Linked DNA regions of Cricetulus griseus. The protein of the gene in region 1 binds, or shares a complex with, the protein of each later gene. Links are inferred from orthologs where the notes say so. Each region holds a gene or a part of one and is shown on either strand. Other genes may lie near its edges.

Evidence for each region.
Region 2: Strn4 (region 1) and Stk25 share a complex: the UniProt entries of both Homo sapiens proteins name them as parts of the core of STRIPAK complex. The link is inferred for Cricetulus griseus from reciprocal best matches to the Homo sapiens genes STRN4 and STK25.
Region 3: Strn4 (region 1) and Strip2 share a complex: the UniProt entries of both Homo sapiens proteins name them as parts of the core of STRIPAK complex. The link is inferred for Cricetulus griseus from reciprocal best matches to the Homo sapiens genes STRN4 and STRIP2.
Region 4: Strn4 (region 1) and Stk26 share a complex: the UniProt entries of both Homo sapiens proteins name them as parts of the core of STRIPAK complex. The link is inferred for Cricetulus griseus from reciprocal best matches to the Homo sapiens genes STRN4 and STK26.
Region 5: Strn4 (region 1) and Stk24 share a complex: the UniProt entries of both Homo sapiens proteins name them as parts of the core of STRIPAK complex. The link is inferred for Cricetulus griseus from reciprocal best matches to the Homo sapiens genes STRN4 and STK24.

What each region holds. Positions count from the first base shown.
Region 1 is NC_048602.1:11,454,445-11,458,230, forward strand, and holds part of Strn4 (striatin-4), read left to right. Parts: intron 1-2,060; coding exon 2,061-2,258; intron 2,259-3,786. UniProt on the Homo sapiens protein: Calmodulin-binding scaffolding protein which is the center of the striatin-interacting phosphatase and kinase (STRIPAK) complexes.
Region 2 is NC_048595.1:445,072,985-445,076,770, reverse strand, and holds part of Stk25 (serine/threonine-protein kinase 25), read left to right. Parts: intron 1-2,622; coding exon 2,623-2,853; intron 2,854-3,786. UniProt on the Homo sapiens protein: Oxidant stress-activated serine/threonine kinase that may play a role in the response to environmental stress.
Region 3 is NW_023276806.1:197,887,766-197,891,551, reverse strand, and holds part of Strip2 (striatin-interacting protein 2), read left to right. Parts: coding exon 1-95; intron 96-1,320; coding exon 1,321-1,524; intron 1,525-2,665; coding exon 2,666-2,901; intron 2,902-3,163; coding exon 3,164-3,229; intron 3,230-3,786. UniProt on the Homo sapiens protein: Plays a role in the regulation of cell morphology and cytoskeletal organization. Required in the control of cell shape. Calmodulin-binding scaffolding protein which is the center of the striatin-interacting phosphatase and kinase (STRIPAK) complexes.
Region 4 is NC_048604.1:19,058,631-19,061,939, forward strand, and holds part of Stk26 (serine/threonine-protein kinase 26), read right to left. Parts: coding exon 3,296-3,309; intron 3,207-3,295; coding exon 3,049-3,206; intron 2,329-3,048; coding exon 2,143-2,328; intron 1,142-2,142; coding exon 993-1,141; intron 7-992; coding exon 1-6. UniProt on the Homo sapiens protein: Serine/threonine-protein kinase that acts as a mediator of cell growth. Modulates apoptosis. In association with STK24 negatively regulates Golgi reorientation in polarized cell migration upon RHO activation.
Region 5 is NW_023276807.1:271,163,771-271,168,323, reverse strand, and holds the end of Stk24 (serine/threonine-protein kinase 24), read left to right. Parts: intron 1-392; coding exon 393-529; intron 530-2,987; coding exon 2,988-3,024; 3' UTR 3,025-4,015; downstream 4,016-4,553. UniProt on the Homo sapiens protein: Serine/threonine-protein kinase that acts on both serine and threonine residues and promotes apoptosis in response to stress stimuli and caspase activation.

The DNA.
Region 1 (3,786 bases):
GGAGTCCATCCCCCCAGCACCATAAAAATCACCACCACCGCGGGGCGGTGGGCGGTGGGCGGTGGAGGCGCACGCCTTTAATCCCAGCACTCGGGAGACAGAGGCAGGCGGATCTCTGTGAGTTCGAGGCCAGCCTGGTCTACAAGAGCTAGTTCCAGGGCAGCCTCCAAAGCCACAGAGAAACCCTGTCTCGAAAAACCAAATTAAAAAAAAAAAAAAAAAAAAAAAAATCACCACCATGTAATAGGCACCCTTCTGGAAAGCCAGAGATCTCAAGAGCCAATCCATCGTGAGGTGTTTTAGTCTTAGGACTCATGACAGACCTCAGGAAGCTGACCTCGACTGCCTTCAGCTCACTCTCTGCAAACAAACCACTGCTAGCTTAAGTGGGCACTAATAACCCCGGAGGGCTGTGAAGCAAATGTAATGAGAGCCAGTCACATGTGCCTGTACTGTGTAACTGCTGGCTTGGCCCTGATTCTCACGGTGCAGAGACCATTTGGTAAATGCAGCCACCTCTAGATTGCTGGGCTTCTCCACCCCTCTTGTCCCCTGGGAGATGAGAGCCTGGGCCATATGCAAGCATTGCAGTGGTGAGCCAAGCAGAGGAGGGCACAGACACCCTAAGGGGCCTCTAACAGAGCAGCGAGGCAGTGTTGTCCCTTAACTTTGGAAGCCACAGATCCCCTTGATTGACTTTTTGATCTTTTTCTCTTCTTCTTTTTCTTTTTCCTTTAGGCCAGTGTCAGCTGGCTTCAGTTTTTTAAGTTGCAGAAGTAATAAATGCTCAGGTGTAGAAGTAAGTAGAACGATACACAGCGGTAGAGCGCTTGCCTCGCATGCTCAAGGCCCTGGGGCCCATCCCCAGCGCTGCAGGAAAAACAGTGTACTCTTGTGTTCTGGATCCTCCCCTGCAGAGGTCACTGTTGCTCAGTTTATGTCTGTCTTCTAGGCGTCCGGGAAGCAAGCACCAGTGTGTGTGTGTGTGTGTGTGTGTGTGTGTGTGTGTGTGTGTGTGTGTGATGTGTGTGTGTGTGTGTGTGTGTGTGTGTGTGTGTGTGTGTGTGATGTGTGTGTGTGTGTGTGTGTGTGTGTGTGTGTGTGTGTGTGTGTGTGTGTGTGTGTGTGTGTGTGTGTGTGTGATGTGTGTGTGTGTGTGTGTGTGTGTGTGTGTGTGTGTGTGTGTGTGTGTGTGTGTGTGTGTGTGTGTGTGTGTGTGTGTGTGTGTGTGTGTGTGTGTGTGATGTGTGTGTGTGTGTGTGTGTGTGTGTGTGTGTGTGTGTGTGTGTGTGTGTGTGTGTGTGTGTGTGTGTGTGTGTGTGTTGTGTGTGTGTGTGTGTGTGTGTGTGATGTGTGTGTGTGTGTGATGTGTGTGTGTGTGTGTGTGTGTGTGTGTGTGTGTGTGTGTGTGTGTGTGTGTGTGTGTGGTGTGTGTGTGTGTGTGTGTGTGTGTGTGTGTGTGTGTGTGTGTGTGTGTGTGTGTGTGTGTGTGTGTGTGTGTGTGTGTGTGTGTGTGTGTGAGTGTGTGTGTGTGTGTGTGTGTGTGTGTGTGTGTGAGTGTGTGAGTGTGAGTGTGTGTGTGTGTGTGTGTGTGTGTGTGTGTGTCTGTGTGTGTGTGTGTGTGAGTGTGAGTGTGTGTGTGTGTGTGTGTGTGTGTGATGAAAACATATGCACACCTTCACACTCTTCCATTTTTATAAAACCTGGAATCCCATGGAACATGGAACATACACCATGTTCGCTGTGCTGCTGATCACAGCCATCTTCCGTGGCGCTCTGCCTTCGTCACCTTCCGCCTAGCGTCCGTCAATGGACATCTGGCTTTTCCTGCACGTGGGCTCTCCCCTACATGTCGGGGACACCGTGTGCCATAGCAGCATGCATGGGGACCAGGGCTTCCATTGAGAAGTATCAGAAGCCAAACTGCTGCTCAGGGGTTGCTTCTGAAAAATTGCCGTATGCTCTTTGGTGGCCCTTCAGAAGGCTGCTGGGTTCTGCATGGCCCCAGCGGCCAGAGTAGCTTAATTCATGTGTAGGCTGACCTGACTCTGCCCCCACAGATACCTGGAAGAGGTGGGCTACACAGATACCATCCTGGACATGAGGTCCAAGCGTGTGCGTTCCCTTCTGGGTCGCTCCGTGGAGCTCAATGGGGCCACTGAGCCTATCGAGGGGCCACCCAGGGCTTCACCAGGCCCCGGAGGACTTAGCGGTGGCGAGTCTCTGCTGGTAAAACAGATCGAGGAACAGATCAAGAGGTGAGCCCCCGAGCAGGCATGATGTTCTTCCTCCCTGCAGCTGTTCTGCCGGCCCTGCTAGATTGTGTGGTAGGCTCCACCATTGCTAGGCTTCCCCTGTAGGTTGTCACACGGCCTTTGTTCCTAGCTGAGGATAGCCCTCGGGTGGTTTGATTGCAGCGGGAAACAGGTGAGGAGGCATATCTACTCTTGTCTTGGGGCTCATTTTGTTCATCTTCCCATGGGTAGTTGGTATTGTCAGAAGCAGTAGCGTCATCCTTAGGTGACGTTGAGTGCTATGAAGAATGTGAAGAGAGTGACAGGAAATTGCCAGGTACTGTGGCACACCCCTGTGGCCCCAGCTACTCAGGAGGCAGAGGCAGGAGATTGCTTGAGCCCAGGGGTTGGAGACCAGCCTGGCCAGGAGAAAAAATAAAAAAAAAAGTAACAGGAGTAGTAGTACTCTTGGTGGCTGGAAGATAGGACTACTTTGTGGGGGTAGCATTCTGCCAGAGAATGTCAGGAAAGAATGCTGTCTAGGCAAGGGAAGGGTCGGATTCTAAGACAGAAAGGACTTGATATGTGTGGAAAGCAGGAGACCTGTGGCATGACTGTTGCAGTAAACACAGAGTCTTGTGGCCTGTGGTCTGTGGTAAGGCCAGATCTCGGGAGGCAGATCACGAAGTGCCTACCAGGCCACGATAAACAGGGGATGCTTACCCACAGGGCTGTGGGAAGCCAGTGGTTTCCAGCAGGGGTATATCATCTGACGTCTTAGTCTGCTTTGAGGAGAGATTGCGGAAGCAGGGAGGCCAGGTGGGGGCTGACTGTAGGGTCTAGGCCAGGGCTGATGGACCTTAGCAATGGACGGGTAAGAACTAGGCCTTGTAAAGGACTTGGGGAAAGGAAAGAAGAGGGAGGGTTGTCTGAGGAATGGAGTGGCACCTTCTGAAGTCAGGATCCAGGTGGGGAGTGGCAGGAGTTGATGCAGTTTTGCAGCTGTGTTGAGGTTAAGTTGCCATATGTCCTACATCAAGAGGCCACGTGTAGCTTGGAGCCCTAAACATCTCTCTAGTTTAAGGGAACTGATGTTTGGGGAGGGATCCCACTGTGGGCCCCGAGGGCTCCTCAGTCTTGAGATTGACAAGGAAAGGTGGAGGAGGAAGCAGCAGCCAGAGAGGAGGCAGAGGTGGGTGTGGACGGAGCAAGTCCTCAAAGGACAGTATTCTGGAGTGGCCAGAGAGCGTGCTCTGTATTGATCTCCGTAGAAAGTGTAGCTGTGTCCTGGCAGTTGACGGTTCTGGTGTGCCAGTAGACCGCGGGAGGGAGGGAGGGTGGGTGTCCCTAAGGAGGAATGCTGCCTGTGTGATGGGGCAAGGCTCTCCCATGTCCATGTTAGTTGACAGCGAAGAGTTGGAGGTGACCGAGTCTTGCAGGGCGGCCGCTGCTCCTGGGCTGATTAGGGCAGAGGCACCGGGCAGTGACTTCTTCTTACCCAGCTCATATTTGACTTGGTCAGATGTGGGCAGGCATGTTCAGGGGATGCTCT
Region 2 (3,786 bases), on another chromosome or scaffold:
TCTGCTCCAAGCATCTACTGCTGCTCAGTGAGAACTGGTCTTAGGATTTGGCTGCCAGTTCTAATGATTACATTTATTTTTGGATGGGTAGGTATGTATGTACCACAGTGTAAATATTAGAAGACCACTTATGGAAATTGGTTTCCTCCTTCCATGTGGTCCAGGGATCAAACCCAGGTTGTTAGGTTTGGTGACAAGTGCTTTTACCCACTGAGCCATCTGGTCTTGGTCTTTTTCTTTTCCTTCCTTCCTTTTTCTTTTTTGTTGTCGTCATCTTCTTTAAAAAAAAAAATAGGTTTATTTACTTTACGTGTATGTGTGAGTATATGCATGTATGCATGTGTGCATCACATGTGGGAAGTGCTTGAGATCACGTGGGCTGTTGGGAACCAAACCCATGTGCTCTTAACTACCGAGCCATCTCTCTAGCCCCCTGGCCAAACCAGAGCACATACGGACACCACAGCTAGTCTGCTCAGAGTGCCTGCTCTGGGCCAGGCATGGCACTGTGGCACACACTCGGGCCTCTTGGAGGCAGCTTTGCTTAGAGGGGTTAGGTGACTTCTGTGTTAAGACACTGCCCTTGTGCCTGGAGTTCTTCCCCGAACTTCTCTCTGCTCACCTCATCTTGTTCTGCAGTTCTTGGCTTGTCGAGGGCTGGGGAGTGTGGTCCTCTGTCTCTTCCCTTTACTTCTTTCACGGTTAAAAACCTTAAGAATGTAGCTAGTTGGCAATTTTGTCTCAGATGGGGTCTGAAACCAGTTGCTTTGCTTGCAGAGAAGAAGCTGGGGCAGTTAGGCTTCAGGGAATCAGGCAGCTATGTCAGTTTTGGAGGACAGGCTTCTTAGAAACATGGTAAACACCTAGGACAGGCTCTTCCCTAAGCAGAGGGATTTGCGCATCAGTACTTAGACAGTTGTAAATAAGTGTGGTTTTGCCTTTTTGTGTCTCGGCCTCCCACCCCCCCATTTGGGAGCTGAATTCCAGGCCTTGGGCATGCTAGGCAAGTGCTCTGCCACTGAGTTATTTCCATGGTCCCCCCCTTAAAAACAAAACAACACCTCTCCGTGTGTGTACCATGGCATGTGTGTTGTCACTGGACAGCTTTGGGAGTCAGTTCTCTTCCACCATGTGGTCTAGGGAACCAAACTCAGGTTGTTAGTCTTGGTAGCAAGTGCCTCTACCAGAAGAACCATCTTACCCGCCTGATTTGGGTTCCTTTTAACAGGCACCAAAATACTGTTTGGGGGACATCCTTTTGGGGTGACCATCTCCTAATGGAGGTGAAACTTAGCATGGTTGAAAACCTGGATGAGACTCAGCATTCCCCTTTGAGGTCTTGTGCCAGCGTGGCCAGTGGTATGGAGAACATGTTCTTTTCCAGTCTGCCAGGTAGCACAGTAGGGACATTCAGTGGTGGCCCTGGGAGAGGCTCTTCTGCTTCTTTCCTCTCTGGAGGCAGCCCTGATTCAAAACCTAGCGTGGTTTGGACAGAGCACACACCTTTGCCATCCTGGCTCATCTTCAACATGATCGGTTCAGCAATGATAAGATCCTAGTTAAATCTGAGGGCTGTCTAGGGTAGCTTGTAATGATAAATCTTTACGCCCAGCTGCCTGAGTCCTGCTGCCATGTGGACGCTTTCCACCAGGCCATCTGAGTTCCGCCCGCCACCACATTAAGGTCCCAAGTAACTCCCAGAGACTTATATTAGGTACAAATGCTTCTGTGTTTAGTATCTAGAATTAAACATCTGAGAAAGTGTTCAACTCAGTACTGGTATGAGAATGTAGCTGGCTAGAGGACTAATTTGAGAATAGAGAGGCACTTTAAGTATGGAAAACATAAGTTAGCTTTGCTAAATTTTAATCTCTCGTTTTGTTTTTGATTTTTTGAGACAGAGTTTCTTTGTTTAACAGTTCTGACTATCTGGAATTCTGGAACTAGCTCTGTAAATCAGGCTGGTCTTGAACTCAGAGATCTGCCTGCCTCTGCCTCCTGAGTGCTGTGACTAAAGGCATGCGCCATGCCTGGATGAATTTTACTTTTAAATTACTGGGGCTATGCACATGTGAGTGCAGGTGTTCTCCAAGGCCAGAGACCTCAGATCCCCTGGAGCTAAGGTTGTAGCAGTGAGCACACACTGTAAGACCAGTGTGTGCTCTTGGCCACCAAGCCATCTTTCCAGTCCATTACTTTGTTGTTTTTTTTTTTTAGAACAGTTTTAGATTTATAGTAAAATGAGTTTTACAGTACCCTCTGGCACGCACATACTCCTACCTGTCATTCCTGATAGGTCTTGGCCTGGCTCTCTGTTAGACAACTGAAGAAGGCACTTTGAGATGTGGTATTGCTAATACATTTGATTCTAAATATACATTTGAGTTGAGTCTACAGATACTTTGATTCACTGTATCAAGTCTATTGAATATAGTGTCACTTGGAGAGTGGAGAGTTACATTTAGGTTTTCTGGACAAGGGATAAAGAAGCCAGAAAAGGATTGAGGTGAGTTCTCTTTAGCTCCTTGCAGTGGCCCAGACCCTCAGTCAGCAGTCAGCCCTCTTCTAGTATTTCCTCTAGTGGGTGTTGTCTCAGCATTCTGTCCCTTCTGGCTTATGTAGAATTCTCGTGTGGACCCAGAGGAACTCTTCACCAAGCTTGACCGCATTGGCAAGGGCTCGTTTGGGGAGGTGTACAAAGGCATCGACAACCAAACCAAGGAGGTGGTGGCCATCAAGATCATTGACCTGGAAGAGGCAGAGGATGAGATTGAGGACATCCAGCAGGAGATCACTGTGCTCAGCCAGTGTGACAGCCCTTACATCACCCGCTACTTCGGCTCCTACCTGAAGGTGCTGCCAGGAGAGGGGGCATCTATGGGAGTGGGGGGGCACTGAAGGCTCTGTGCCAGGGTTTGTCCTGTTTCCAGAGGAGTTACTATGTACCCAAGGTAGAGGAGAGCAGAGAAAGGCACTGCTGGGCACATGGGGATCCCTCTGGAAGGGCAAAGAGGCTCCCCTTTACCCCAAAGCTCAGCTTCACAAAAAAGTCTGTTCTTTTGAGAAGTACAATCTACAAGAGTCAGGTGGCTCTAAAGTGGTCATAGTGACCCAGCTGTCTTATCTGTGGGTGCTGTTAGGTACAGTCTAAGGGGTCCCTGCTGGCAGTACTGTGGAGGTCTGCCAGGAGGGCACTTGGGCTATTGAAAAAGACTTAGTGACTGCTCTGGGCACTTGGTCTGTCCACCAAGTGCCTGTACCAGAGGTATGGTAGCTGGGTGGTCAGTAAGACCTTTTCTCCTGCCCCTTCCTCTGGACAGGGTCTCTGCAGACCAGCCTGGCCTTGAACTCACAAAAGATCTGCCTATGTCTCTAAGTGCTGGAATTAAGGTGTATGCTTCCTTTTTTTGTTTGGTTTTGTGTGTGTGTTATTTTGTTTTTAAGACAGGGTCTCATTGTGTAGTTGTTTGTCCTGGAACTCAGCCACCTGCCACTCGAGTGCTGGGATTAAAGGCATGTGCCACCATGCTTGGCTTGGCCCTTCTTTTTAAAAATATTAATTTATTATTATTTTTACCTATATGTGTCGCGTGCGTGCGCGTGTACACGTGCGTGCCTGAGGAGGCCAGAAGAGGTTGGTGGATGTCCCCGGAACAGGAGCCGCATGCTGCTGGTGTTGGGAATTGAAAGAGCATCAAGTGCTCTTACTGCCAAGCCATCTCTTTATCCCTTCCCCCCCTTTGAAAAACACTTGGTCTCCTTGCCCAATCTGACCTTGAACTTCTG
Region 3 (3,786 bases), on another chromosome or scaffold:
TCCTGCTCTTTTCCATGGTTACCAAATTCTGCAGTGGCCTGGCGCCTCACTTTCCAATAAAGAAGGTTCTGCTTCTGCTCTGGAAGGTGGTTATGGTGAGTGATCTCCATTCCCGTCTCACTGATCAGAGCTAGACAGCAGAACTGGCTATCTGTTAGCCCCAGCTAACTGAGAGGAGCAAAAGGCCCACCTAGAATCATCAAATATTCTGTATCATTGGGTTTCTGTTTCTATTGGATGAATCCATTGGATGTCACTCTATGAGTTGAAGATGTCAATGGCACCTTTTTCCTAAAAGAACTGATGTTTCTTAGAAAGAACCCTAGCTGATCATTGGGAATCTGACTCTGTCCATACCAATGAACCTTGGACAATTCTGTACCTGTTTCTATAGCTATGAAATGTTAAGATTAATGCATGCCTTTTCTTCCAGTAGAGGATGGGTGTCCTTTCAAGTATATAGTTAATAATTTGTTATTTATTATTTAATCCGATCCTTCATCCCATCGTCTCCCTCTGGCTCCCATCCCATAGGGCTGGAGGAACAACACACCCTCTTAGTGGGCCTCATAGGGTAAACCACCTCTTGATTACAGAGGAAGCTATGTGACTCTAGGACGTTGTAATATCTGAATATGCTCCTTAAAATTGATTGCGCCCAGGATAGTGGAACATGGTTGTAAAACTAGCACTCGTCAGACAGGCATAAAGACTGAAGGTTTAAGGCCAGCTTGAGCTACACATTGAGACCCTGCTCAAGAAACAAAACAAAGGGAGGATTGCCTCCTAATTTTTAAATTTTTTCCAGTGGAGCCCACCCTCCTCTAATATTTACTGCTATTTCCAACCCTGGGTCAATAAATAATGCTGTGTTTTATTCTGACACTAGAGATCCTCAGACTGAAGTGGTAACAATGTTTGTTTCTTCTTGTTTTTCTGCTTCCTTGTACAAAAGGCAGTGTGAGGAAATTGGAAGATGTGGTTCTTTCCTTCTGTCCATGTTTCTCTGCCTTTGTTCTCTATGACTGCCCTCTCTCACCCCTCTCTTCTCTTCCTCCTTTTTCTGCATAACAATTTTTTTAATTACAATATAATTACACCATTTTCCCCTTTCCCTTTCCTCTCTTTAACATCTTCCATGTACCCACCCCTTGCTCCTTGCTCTCTCTGAAATTCATAGCCTCTTTTTCTTTAGTTATTGTCACATGTGCATATATATATATATATATATATAATATATATATATATATATAAATGCAACATGCTCAGGGCTGACTGGTGGGTACTGGATAACCTCCCTTTTTCTTTTTAACTCTTTAGTTTACCCTTGGTGGATTTGAGCATCTGCAGGCTCTCAAAATACAGAAGCGCGCAGAGTTGGGCCTGCCTCCACTGGCTGAGGACAGTATCCAGGTCGTAAAGAGTATGCGTGCTGCCTCCCCACCTTCTTACACTCTCGATCTGGGGGAGTCTCAGCTGGCCCCTCCACCCTCCAAGCTGCGGGGCCGCCGTGGTTCTCGAAGGGTATGGATCAAGCATATGGTAGTGTTGGGGTATTGACTGGTCAAAAATCAGGGTTCTCAGATGCTACGGATGTGGCAGGAAAGGGCAGTAAATGGCCATCCCAGGTTGGCCCTGTAGCCAGCATGAATCCTTAGAATCTACACTTTGGCACCTGACCATGGATTATTGTCTGGACCTCAGTGACTAGAGTTGCTTAGCCTCCTAAATAGGGGTTATGTTAGAATTCTGAGAGTAGGTACCCTGAAAAGAGCACCTAGCAAATCTACATGCCTATCATGAATCACTTACCATTTTCTTGGCAGCAAGAAATTTTATTTTGAGCCACCATACTCCATCTGGCCTTGGACCACGAGCTTACATTTGTGAGGTGGCTAGATAGGGTTCTAGGCAGTGTATATTATTGAGACGTTCTAAATAATTGAGCCTTGACCACATTTTTCATGAACTCACCTGCCTGACCTACCCAAGTTTACCAATTAAAGGTGACAGGGTCACACAATCCAGTCTAAATTATAAGCAGAATGACTTTATTAAAAAAAAAAAAAAAAAACCTTTCTCTTTTGTTTCATAAAGTAATGCTTACTCATTGTAGAAAATTTGGAACAGATGTAAAAATGTGATGAAGAGAGAAAAATCACCCACAAGCTTAACAACCAGAGGCAGTGACTATTAACTTTTTGGCCTATTTCTGTCCAGTCTTTTTTTCCCCTTTATGCAATGAGATTTAACATTCTAAACTCACATTCCTCTGCCTGGCAGCAAGCTTCTGTCATCTTCTTCCTCAGTCAGCCAGCTGGTGTATGCTGACAGAAAGCAAACTAATTGTATGTTCACCTAAGCAGAGCATAATTAGGAAGGAAAATGCTTGGGAGGGCAGGGAACGTGGCGCATCCATCAGTGCCTCTGGAACCTAACTAGCTCCCACACTGGTGCTATCTGTGCTCTGTTTCCTGGCCATGGTCATTTTTCCTGGGAGCTGCTTGTCCAGTGACTGAGTCCAGTGAGTTGTAAGATTGAGATGGATGATGGAATGTTCTCATAGTAGATGGGTTTCAACCTTATGGTTCCTGAAGTCTAGAGAGAGTGACTTCAGACAAGGGTGCCACAAGCTCTATAATTTCCTCTCTCTCACCACTGCCAGCAACTCCTCACCAAGCAAGACAGCCTGGACATCTACAATGAAAGGGATCTCTTCAAGACTGAGGAGCCAGCCACAGAGGAAGAAGAAGAGTCTGCAGCTGATGGAGAACGAGCCTTGGATGGAGAGTTAGACCTACTAGAGCAGGATCCTCTGGTGCCACCTCCACCCTCACAGACACCTCTCTCTACTGACCGAGTAGCCTTTCCCAAGGGCCTTCCCTGGGCACCAAAGGTCAGGTAGGTTTAATGGCACTAGTGATCCTGAGCATTGAGATTCCAATCGCTGAAGAGCCAGGTGGACTAGCATACATGTTGAGTGTTCATTAACCTGGTGTGGTAATTACAACACCTGGTTTTGAAGTTCTTTCTGTCTTCTTCTACTGCTCTAGTCCTTCCAAAACGAAGAATCAGGAGCTCTGAAAATTCCTCTTTCTCAAGGTTGTTTTGTTTTGTTTTCTTCCTCTCCCTGGTATTGGTTTCTTCACCATCATCATCTCAGACAGAAGGACATTGAGCACTTCTTGGAGATGAGCAGAAATAAGTTCATTGGATTCACCCTGGGGCAGTAAGTGACTAGATATTCAAAAGTGAATATAAAGTATATCTTAGAAGGCCATGAATTTTCCTCACTAGCCTTTATAAAGCTAGAAGGGATTTCATTGTCAAAGGTATCATTAGGCTACATATTCCTTTAAGTGGGAATCTGTCACCTGCAGGCCAAGTGAATAACTAAAAGACTATATGATATAAATCTAACTTTCAGAAATACTTCTGTGTGTCATTGTTATTTTTGTGACATTAAGATGATGGACCTGGAGTCTTATATAAGAAGGTATAAGGCTAGGCAGTGGTGGTGCACACCTTTAGTCCCAGCATTTGGAAGGCAGAGGCAGTTGGATCTCTGTGAGTTTGAGGCCAGCCTGGTCTACAGAGTGAGTTCCAAGACAGGCTCCAAAGCTACGGAGAAACCCTATCTCAAAAAAAAAAAAAAAAAAAAAAAAAAGAAGAAGGTATAGGAAACAGGGGTAGATGCTTGAAGTGTGTGGACCCTATGATTCCAGAGTGTATGGGTAGTTTTCTCTTCTGTTAAGAATATCATGGTTTGGTGTTTTGGGCCTCTTA
Region 4 (3,309 bases), on another chromosome or scaffold:
GATTCCCTAAAGAAATAAAAAACATACCAAGTAGTTCGACATGGCAGAAACACCAACTCAAAGATCTCACTGTGTCAGTGTTTACAAACTCACCATACAACACCGCATCTGACCTGTTTCAGGTGGGTACTCCATTTGATTCAAGAACAGAGCATTTCTCAGCTCTAACTGATCATCCAAATACTATGTGCATAGCGCTATATTGTTAATACTGCCATTCCCCTATGCCTGAATCACGAACCCTGTAGAATGCCTTGTGTTTTTAAAGTTCCATCAAGAAGTTTTCATGGGCAGTTAAGGTTAACAAGCCTTAAACTGGGCACAAACTACATACTGAGATATTTTATTCATTTCAAATATTGGGCAATTTCTCATAAATGCAGGTGCCTGAGAATATTGTGACGACATAGGGTGCTACCTCTGTGGAGGTCTACATACCAAAAGACTAAATCCTGGTTCAGCCCTTGAATTCTTCTACTCAAGTTAAGATGAGCACACAGAAGCAGAAATACTGGCATTTTTCAAAAAGACTAACTTGTCCATAGGGTAAAAACCATACATAAGTAAATAGTTGTCACAGTTCACGGATCAGTCTGATCAATTTGGTCTGGGACCAGGAAGTAGGAAGGGCTGTGACAGCAGTTCTCCAAAGGGTTTTGCAAGTTGTAATCACTGTATGAGAAAATAGCTCCTTATTGCTTCTCATGAACTAATAGAACACCTTTAATCAAATCGTATTCCAAAATTTTGTAATATACTCAAGTATCCACTAGGGGTTAGACCGAGACCATTTAAAAGCAGAGCTTTTCTCTTCCAAAGTGTGTTTCCAAGCTCATTGTATTCCATGAACCATCAAGAAACTTCACAGTGGCTGAAATGAGCCCTCACGGTGATTTATAACTTAGTTGAAAGCAAGCACACTAGGTCACTGCGAAAGGCAGAGCATATGAAAACAGGCTGCCAACATAAAAATAACAGTAACTTGTACATACGAGTCAGAGCCCTCGGAGTCCGATTCGTCATCACTGTGTCCTTCTGCCTTCCATCTCTTAAATCGATCGATCAGTTCGGTCAGATAAGAAGTCTTCTTTGAATTTTTTACAATGAACTTATGTTTCAAAAGTTCTTTTGCTGTAGGACGCTAAGGCACAGACACACACAAAGAAAAGGACTCATGACTATTTTGAGGATCTTTTGGGGAGAGACAGGTAGTAAAACACCATTTGAATTATTACACTGAAATCTACAAAACTGGATCTATGAACAGGAGGACAATTAAAATGTAATAGGAAAACTGACCATTTTATTTCTTCAAGTGGGTCAAGGTAGCCAATTGAAATTGGTTGTTTTAGCAGCCTGATTTGTTAAAGCACAGTAGACAGATGCTAGGATACCTCACCAGCATGCCACTCAACAAAGCTTTCTCAGCAATAGCGGGACTTAGAAAGTAACCATCTAAAAATGTCAAAACAACATTTAAGACACTTTATTACACTGACTGTAATTTTTGAAAAATCATGCAAATGAGCAAGATTGCTGTAATTTTGTTATTATCTGCACATCTTATGAATCCCTAATTTTGTCATTATCTGACCACATCTTAGTATATGCTTTTCTATCAAACACTAATTCTTATTGTACATGAATGCAAACAGCAAGTGCTGTAGGGAATATGTCCCCTTCAGTATTTCATTAATATTATAATGTTTACTGTCAACATAAAATGGTTACATCCAGCTTAGAAAGGTGCTCATGTATATTTAATCACCAGGAGTGAAAAGCAGCTTTATTTTAACAACACTAAGACATGTAATAAATTTAGTCAATTCCCTCACTAATGGCACATGCCTACTTTACTAAGTAAGTAATAGAAAGCTAATGAATTATTTCCCCAAACTTTTTTCTTGAAATAGAATATTATCAGGTAGCTGGGAACTAAGAAGATGATGTCAGGGAGGAAAAAACAAGACCAAGAATCTGGTTAAGAACAGAGTGGAATTAGCAATACAGAAGGAGAAACCAGCTTCGTGGGTGGATCACAGATGTTTTTCACATTGTATTCTCCATATAGGAAACACCACCTTTGTTAGAAGTAGATAGAACAATTGGAAACCACCAGTGGTAATAACAGCATATACTCACAAATGATGGATCTTTATTCAGGCAAGCATCAATGAATTCCTTAAAAGACTTAGTAAAGTCTCCAACAAGAGTTGGAGGGTTGTTTTTTGGAATAAGAAACAGAACTCTCATTGGGTGCATGTCAGAATTCGGAGGCTCTCCCTTGGCAAGTTCAATAGCAGTAATTCCCAAAGACCAAATGTCAGCCTAAAGCAGAAACAATAACACAAACTTTTTATCACATTGACATATCAAGAAATGTGGTGAATTATAATTTTAGTTAATGGAATTCATGAATTAACACTTTAAATCTCATATTTTGTACAGGCACAACACTAATTGAGTGCTAAATAAACCAGATGAAAGTCCTTGCCTTGAAGAGGCTTACATTCTAATAAGAGGGAAAGATAAATGAGTAACATGATGTCATATGGAACTAAGTTCTGTGAAGACACAAAAAGCAGAATAAGGGAATATCGAGCAAAGCAAAGAAAGGAGCTACATGTTTATGTGGGATGGTTAGGGATGTTTAGAGAGAGCTCACTGGGAGCTAGGCTATTCCAGACAAAGGGGAAAGCAAGAGAAAACTCCTGAGGTCAAAATGTACTTGTGTTTGAGGAACAATGAGGCCATAATAGCTGAGAGTACAGATGACAGTGGTAGAAGACAAGGGTGGATAGACATCAAATGGCCAGATCATCAGTGGCCATATATGTGACTATGAGGACTCTAGATTTTATTCCAAGTGGGTTGAAAAACCATTGAAATAAATAGGGCTCAAATATTACCAACACCAAAGGGATTTACGATTAAGAAACAAAATACGACATAATTTCTTTTAGAAGCACTTGTGAAGCAAGGAAAAATTAAAAAGCTTATTGACAAGGCCATATCCAATTAATTCCATCTGCATGTGGAATACTTTACTTTAGAGTCGTAAGCTGACTGTTGAATAACTTCAGGAGCCATCCAAAATGGAGTTCCCACAAAGGTGTTTCTTTTAATTTGTGTATCTGTCAGCTGGCCAGCAACTCCAAAGTCAGCAAGCTTAACATCACCTTGCTCAGAAAGCAAGACATTGGCAGCTAGGGGGCAAAGAAAAACAAAGTGAGTATCTCTCAGCTTCCCCAAAATGTATCTGTTTTTCTCAGGTTTCTATTTGACTTTTGTATACCTTTAATGTCTCGG
Region 5 (4,553 bases), on another chromosome or scaffold:
GTGTGTCTGAGTTTTACCCCAGCCCATAACCATCAGGAGTGCGGCTTTGATGACCTTCATAGTAGCTGCCAGTGAATCCAGAGTTGCATGTAGTTGACCTTGATAGCACTTTCTGCAGTGAGGAGAGGGAATGGATTTGCGCCTTCAGACTCACTTGTGTGTGGAGTTGTGCAGCGTTGTTCTTGCATGGAAGAGTCAGGTGCGGGTCCTCTCTTGCCCTATATGTACATAATGTTCATAGAGGCCCAAGATAGGTGTCCCAGAGTGACTGAGCAGCCACCAAGCTCATGCCTGATCCCTTGACAGCCTGACGTGGTGGTGTCGGTGATGGCATCAGGGCCCACCCAGGTTTGTGCACACACATGTCTCATTGCTCTTGTATACATTTTCAGCTGAAGGAGAAGAGCCAGGCATGTGGAGGAAACTTGGGGTCAATAGAAGAGCTCCGAGGAGCCATCTATTTGGCAGAAGAGGCTTGCCCTGGGATCTCTGACACCATGGTGGCTCAGCTTGTGCAGCGGCTGCAGAGGTAACTGGCCTTGGGCTGGAGCGGGTTTGTAGGAGGGGAGCCTGGTGGTGCGGCATGGCTTCCTGGACTAGGAAGCTGCCACAGGCCGCAGCTTGGCATATCTCTTGGGTGCTTCATTCTTGACTGTTCCTGTTGTCCCCCAGACCAGGGGCTTACAGCAAAACCTATTGAAGGCTTATTCTGAAGTGTACAAATGAAAGAAATGAATCTGGGAAAGACCACAGAGCCTTGCATTTATAGCTCTTGCCAGAGAAATGCAAGATGCCTTAAAAGACCTCTGTGTCCGTGGTCTTACAAGCAGAGAGACAGAGCCTCAGTCACAATGCTTACTGGGAGCTGGGTTTGAAGCCAGAGGCTTTGGTGTGCCATGCTTAGAGCTGTGCTTGTAGGTCTGTGCTGTGGCTCGGTGCCTCCCACTCTTGAGGCCATTGAAGGAGAGTGGTCTCTTTAAGATTGCCCCAGATTTGATTCTAAAGGCAGCAGCTTGTTACAGAAATAAAGGAAAAATAAGCCTGAAACCCATTCTGTGGGCTCACCTGGCAGGTCTCTGTGAGTTCTTTAACTTGGGATCATTCCATATCCTCCTTGGTGGCATAAGTGTCACTTTTCTGTGATGTGTGTGCGTTTGCTGGTATACCTGTGTGGGCAGAGGTATGCCTCTCAGGAGCTGATTTCTCTCCTGTCACTTTTTAAATCCAGGGATCTAATTCAGTTTATCAGGTGTGTCTATAAACACCTCCTACCTGCTGAGTGCCTTCTGAGTGAGTGAGTGTGAGTGTGTGTGTGTGTGCGCGTGCGCGAGAGCGCGTGTTTGAATTTTTGTGGTGCCAGGACTTTATCCTTTCATCTATAGCATTCTAGGCAGTATTCTGCCATTGAGCTGTAGTCCCAGCCTTCTCACACATGGAATCTCAAATTTGCTAGAAACTACCAAAATAGTAAAGAGGAAAAACAATTTTAATAAGTTTGATATTTTCCTCTGCCAGTTTATAATCATTATAAATAATTACCTATTGAGATATTTTGCATTGTTTTCTTTGGTGTTAAACCTTTGAAATCTGCTTTGAATTACATACGGTTACATCTTCTTCAATTCAAACTTAGATTTCAAGCAGACGCTCATGGCCTTTGGGCTAAGTAGACCCTCCTAAGTTATCAGATAGACAATTGTCTCCATCAACATGGATAAGGCTTTCCATTTTCGTCCTTGGCGTTCTTGGAGCCCCACCAGCCATAGGGTGATGCTCAACCAGAGGTTGTCACGTAGGCTTCTTCCTGGTTTGTTGCCACATGAGTGGTTTGGGCAGTCTCTTCAGAAGTGACTTCTGTCTGAAGTATTTTCAGGGCTTTTGGATCCTCCACTCACAGGAGGAGAAACTTAACCCATGGCAAGTCATTTGTAGCTCTTGGTGCTCCAGGGCACTGCTCAGAGCATCTGTGAACCTATTTGAGTGCTCAGTGTGTTTAAAGGGAACTCTGGGAGGCATGTTGGCAATGAGTTTTCTTAAATATGTCCTTGGCCATCTTCCTGGCCCTGTGATTTGATGTCAGTTTTGAGTGATTAAAAAATCTTGGCCATTATACCATTTAGCATTCAAAAGCAAGACAATGTTTTTGTTTTTAAACAAGTGACATGGGCCCTACGGTTGTGACCCGGTTATTACCATCTCTCCTGTCTTTTAATATATTGCCTTCTGATGTCACATATGCAAGGTGTTCATGTGGACACACAGACCGTCTTCTGGGCCACATTGTGGCTTGCCTGGCCAGCCTCCATATTGCTGCCCCAAAGAATTGCTGAGTGTAGACTCAAACTAACCATGGGCCTGTGTCCCTGAGCTTGGTTACCACCAGTTTTCAATAGATTTTGGGCTGGAGAGGACTCTGTGGGTGAGGGGCTTCCTTCCAGCAGAAGACCTGGGTGTAGGCCCAACACCACACAAAAAGGCTTTCTGTCCCAGCATGGGGGAGGGGTGTTGGCCAGAGATACAGGTAGATTCTGGAGGCTTGCTGGCCAACCAGCCTAGACAGAATGGCTAGCTCCAACCCAGTAGGAGATGCTGTGTGGAGAAGTAAGATGGAGAACACTGGAGGGGGGATCCCAGAGATGGTCTCTTGACTCCGCAAGAGCTTGCATGGCTGTGCATCCCCCCCCCCACACACACACAAAGCAGGATGATCCTAGGTGTCTTTTGCTGTTTTAATGACACTCTTCTCCAGGGAGACTGAACTTAAGGCTTGCCTTTTATCTACTATGAGTTTTTGTGTTAGAACCAGAATTTTCTTTGTCATTATAAACTCTTGTATAATAGATCTGGTAACCTGCCGGTTCCACTGGTGATTTTTTAAAAGACTTTGAAATTTCTGTAAAGAATGTAGAGTTTTGGTTTGGTGTCAGCAGTTTTGTTCAGGTGTGAGAAATAATGTATACTGATTTCTCTCTTTGCTTTCTCCTTAGATACTCTCTGAGTGGTGGAGGAACTTCAGCTCACTGAGATGCCTTTGGCATCGGGTTTGGTTTTTCCTTTCTTCTTCATCTTCCTCCTTATTAAAAGTCAATGAGCGCCTTTGCTGTCTCTGAGAAGAGGTGTCACGGAGGGGCCCCGCCCTCCTGTAGCCGCCAGCACCTGTCCAGGGACACGGTCCTCATCGTGCTGCAGCCAGTGGAGTCTTTCAGATGGGGTGGGGAGGGTCTACTCCTTCAAGCAATTATTTTATTTTTTTATCGTTTTTAATTTTAATCATAGTGCACATATTCAAAGAAAAATTATCTTTAACAAAAACCCTGAAATGTATATTTGGGTTGTGACAAGGCAGTTGAAGACATGCAACCTCAGGTACCTGCTTCATGTTGATAGCTCCTGCCCCGGGAGACTGAGTCGCTCTGGTGGATCATGTACAGACTTGTATATAGCGTCATTTTTACGGAAATTTTGGCGTGCGTAAGGGATCACTGTGTACACATCGGCCAAGTGCTTCTGTAGATAATCTATCTCTGTGGAGTAAATATTTGACAGGCCAGAACTTGAGTCTATTGCCTTGCCTTTATTACATGTAAATTTTGAACTCCGTGACCAGTGATTTGGATTTTATTTTGTATTTACAGGGTCTGTCATGAATAATAATTAGCACCCTCCCAACCCCCACGGAACACTCCTGTTTGTACCTCAAAAACATGCAAATTCTCCCTCACTTTCCCTTTGCCCCCTTTGGTACTCTTGGAAGTTTTTCTTTCTCATCGATGGTACTGTTTTCATTGTGTTTTCAGTTGGGACATATCTTTTTTCACAGAGCTTTACATTACTCTGAGTTCCTCCCGGATGAAGCACCCTCATCTAGTCTTTGTTGAGTTGTGCCTTTGTGTCTGCACCAGCTGTACCGTCCTGTCCACACCTTTCCGTTGAACCTGGTCGTAGAATCTGCATATCATTTTCCCATCATGAAAGTGTCTGAATGCTTACACCAATAAATTTTATAACTCACTCATTTTGCATACTGTTCTTAAAAAACATGGCTCTGCAGAGGGGTCGGGGCACTTGCTCTGCACACGCGTATGGTTGGGTAAGCGTATGTGTGGAGACTCTGGGGAAAGGGCCCAGATGTCAAACAGCCAAACGTCCACGTTAGTGTCCTATGCGACTGTGTGGCTGGTCACTGGGATATGGCCAGTTCGGGTTTGCGGAGCTGCTGATGCTCTTGCCGAGGACTTGGATGGGTGGGTTCAGTTCTCGTCAAGGAGCTGGTCCTGACGCTATCAGCCAGGCTATCTGCTTGTGTACTACAGAGCGTTGCTTGGCAGGGTGGGAATTCTTGGGTTCTCAGAGCAGGTCTTACTCAGATCTCTGTAGTGTTTCCATTTGCTCATGCTGATTTTGTCCTCTTCTTGGAGTGCTGGGTCTCAGGGAACATAGTTTTTGGAGCAGGAACTTTGGGTGAACTTGGGGATGTCTGCTTGGCCTTGTGGGTGTGTGGTAGCCTCGATGTTACAGGAAGGGCAGCCCAAGACTAGAGGTCCTGGCTGAGA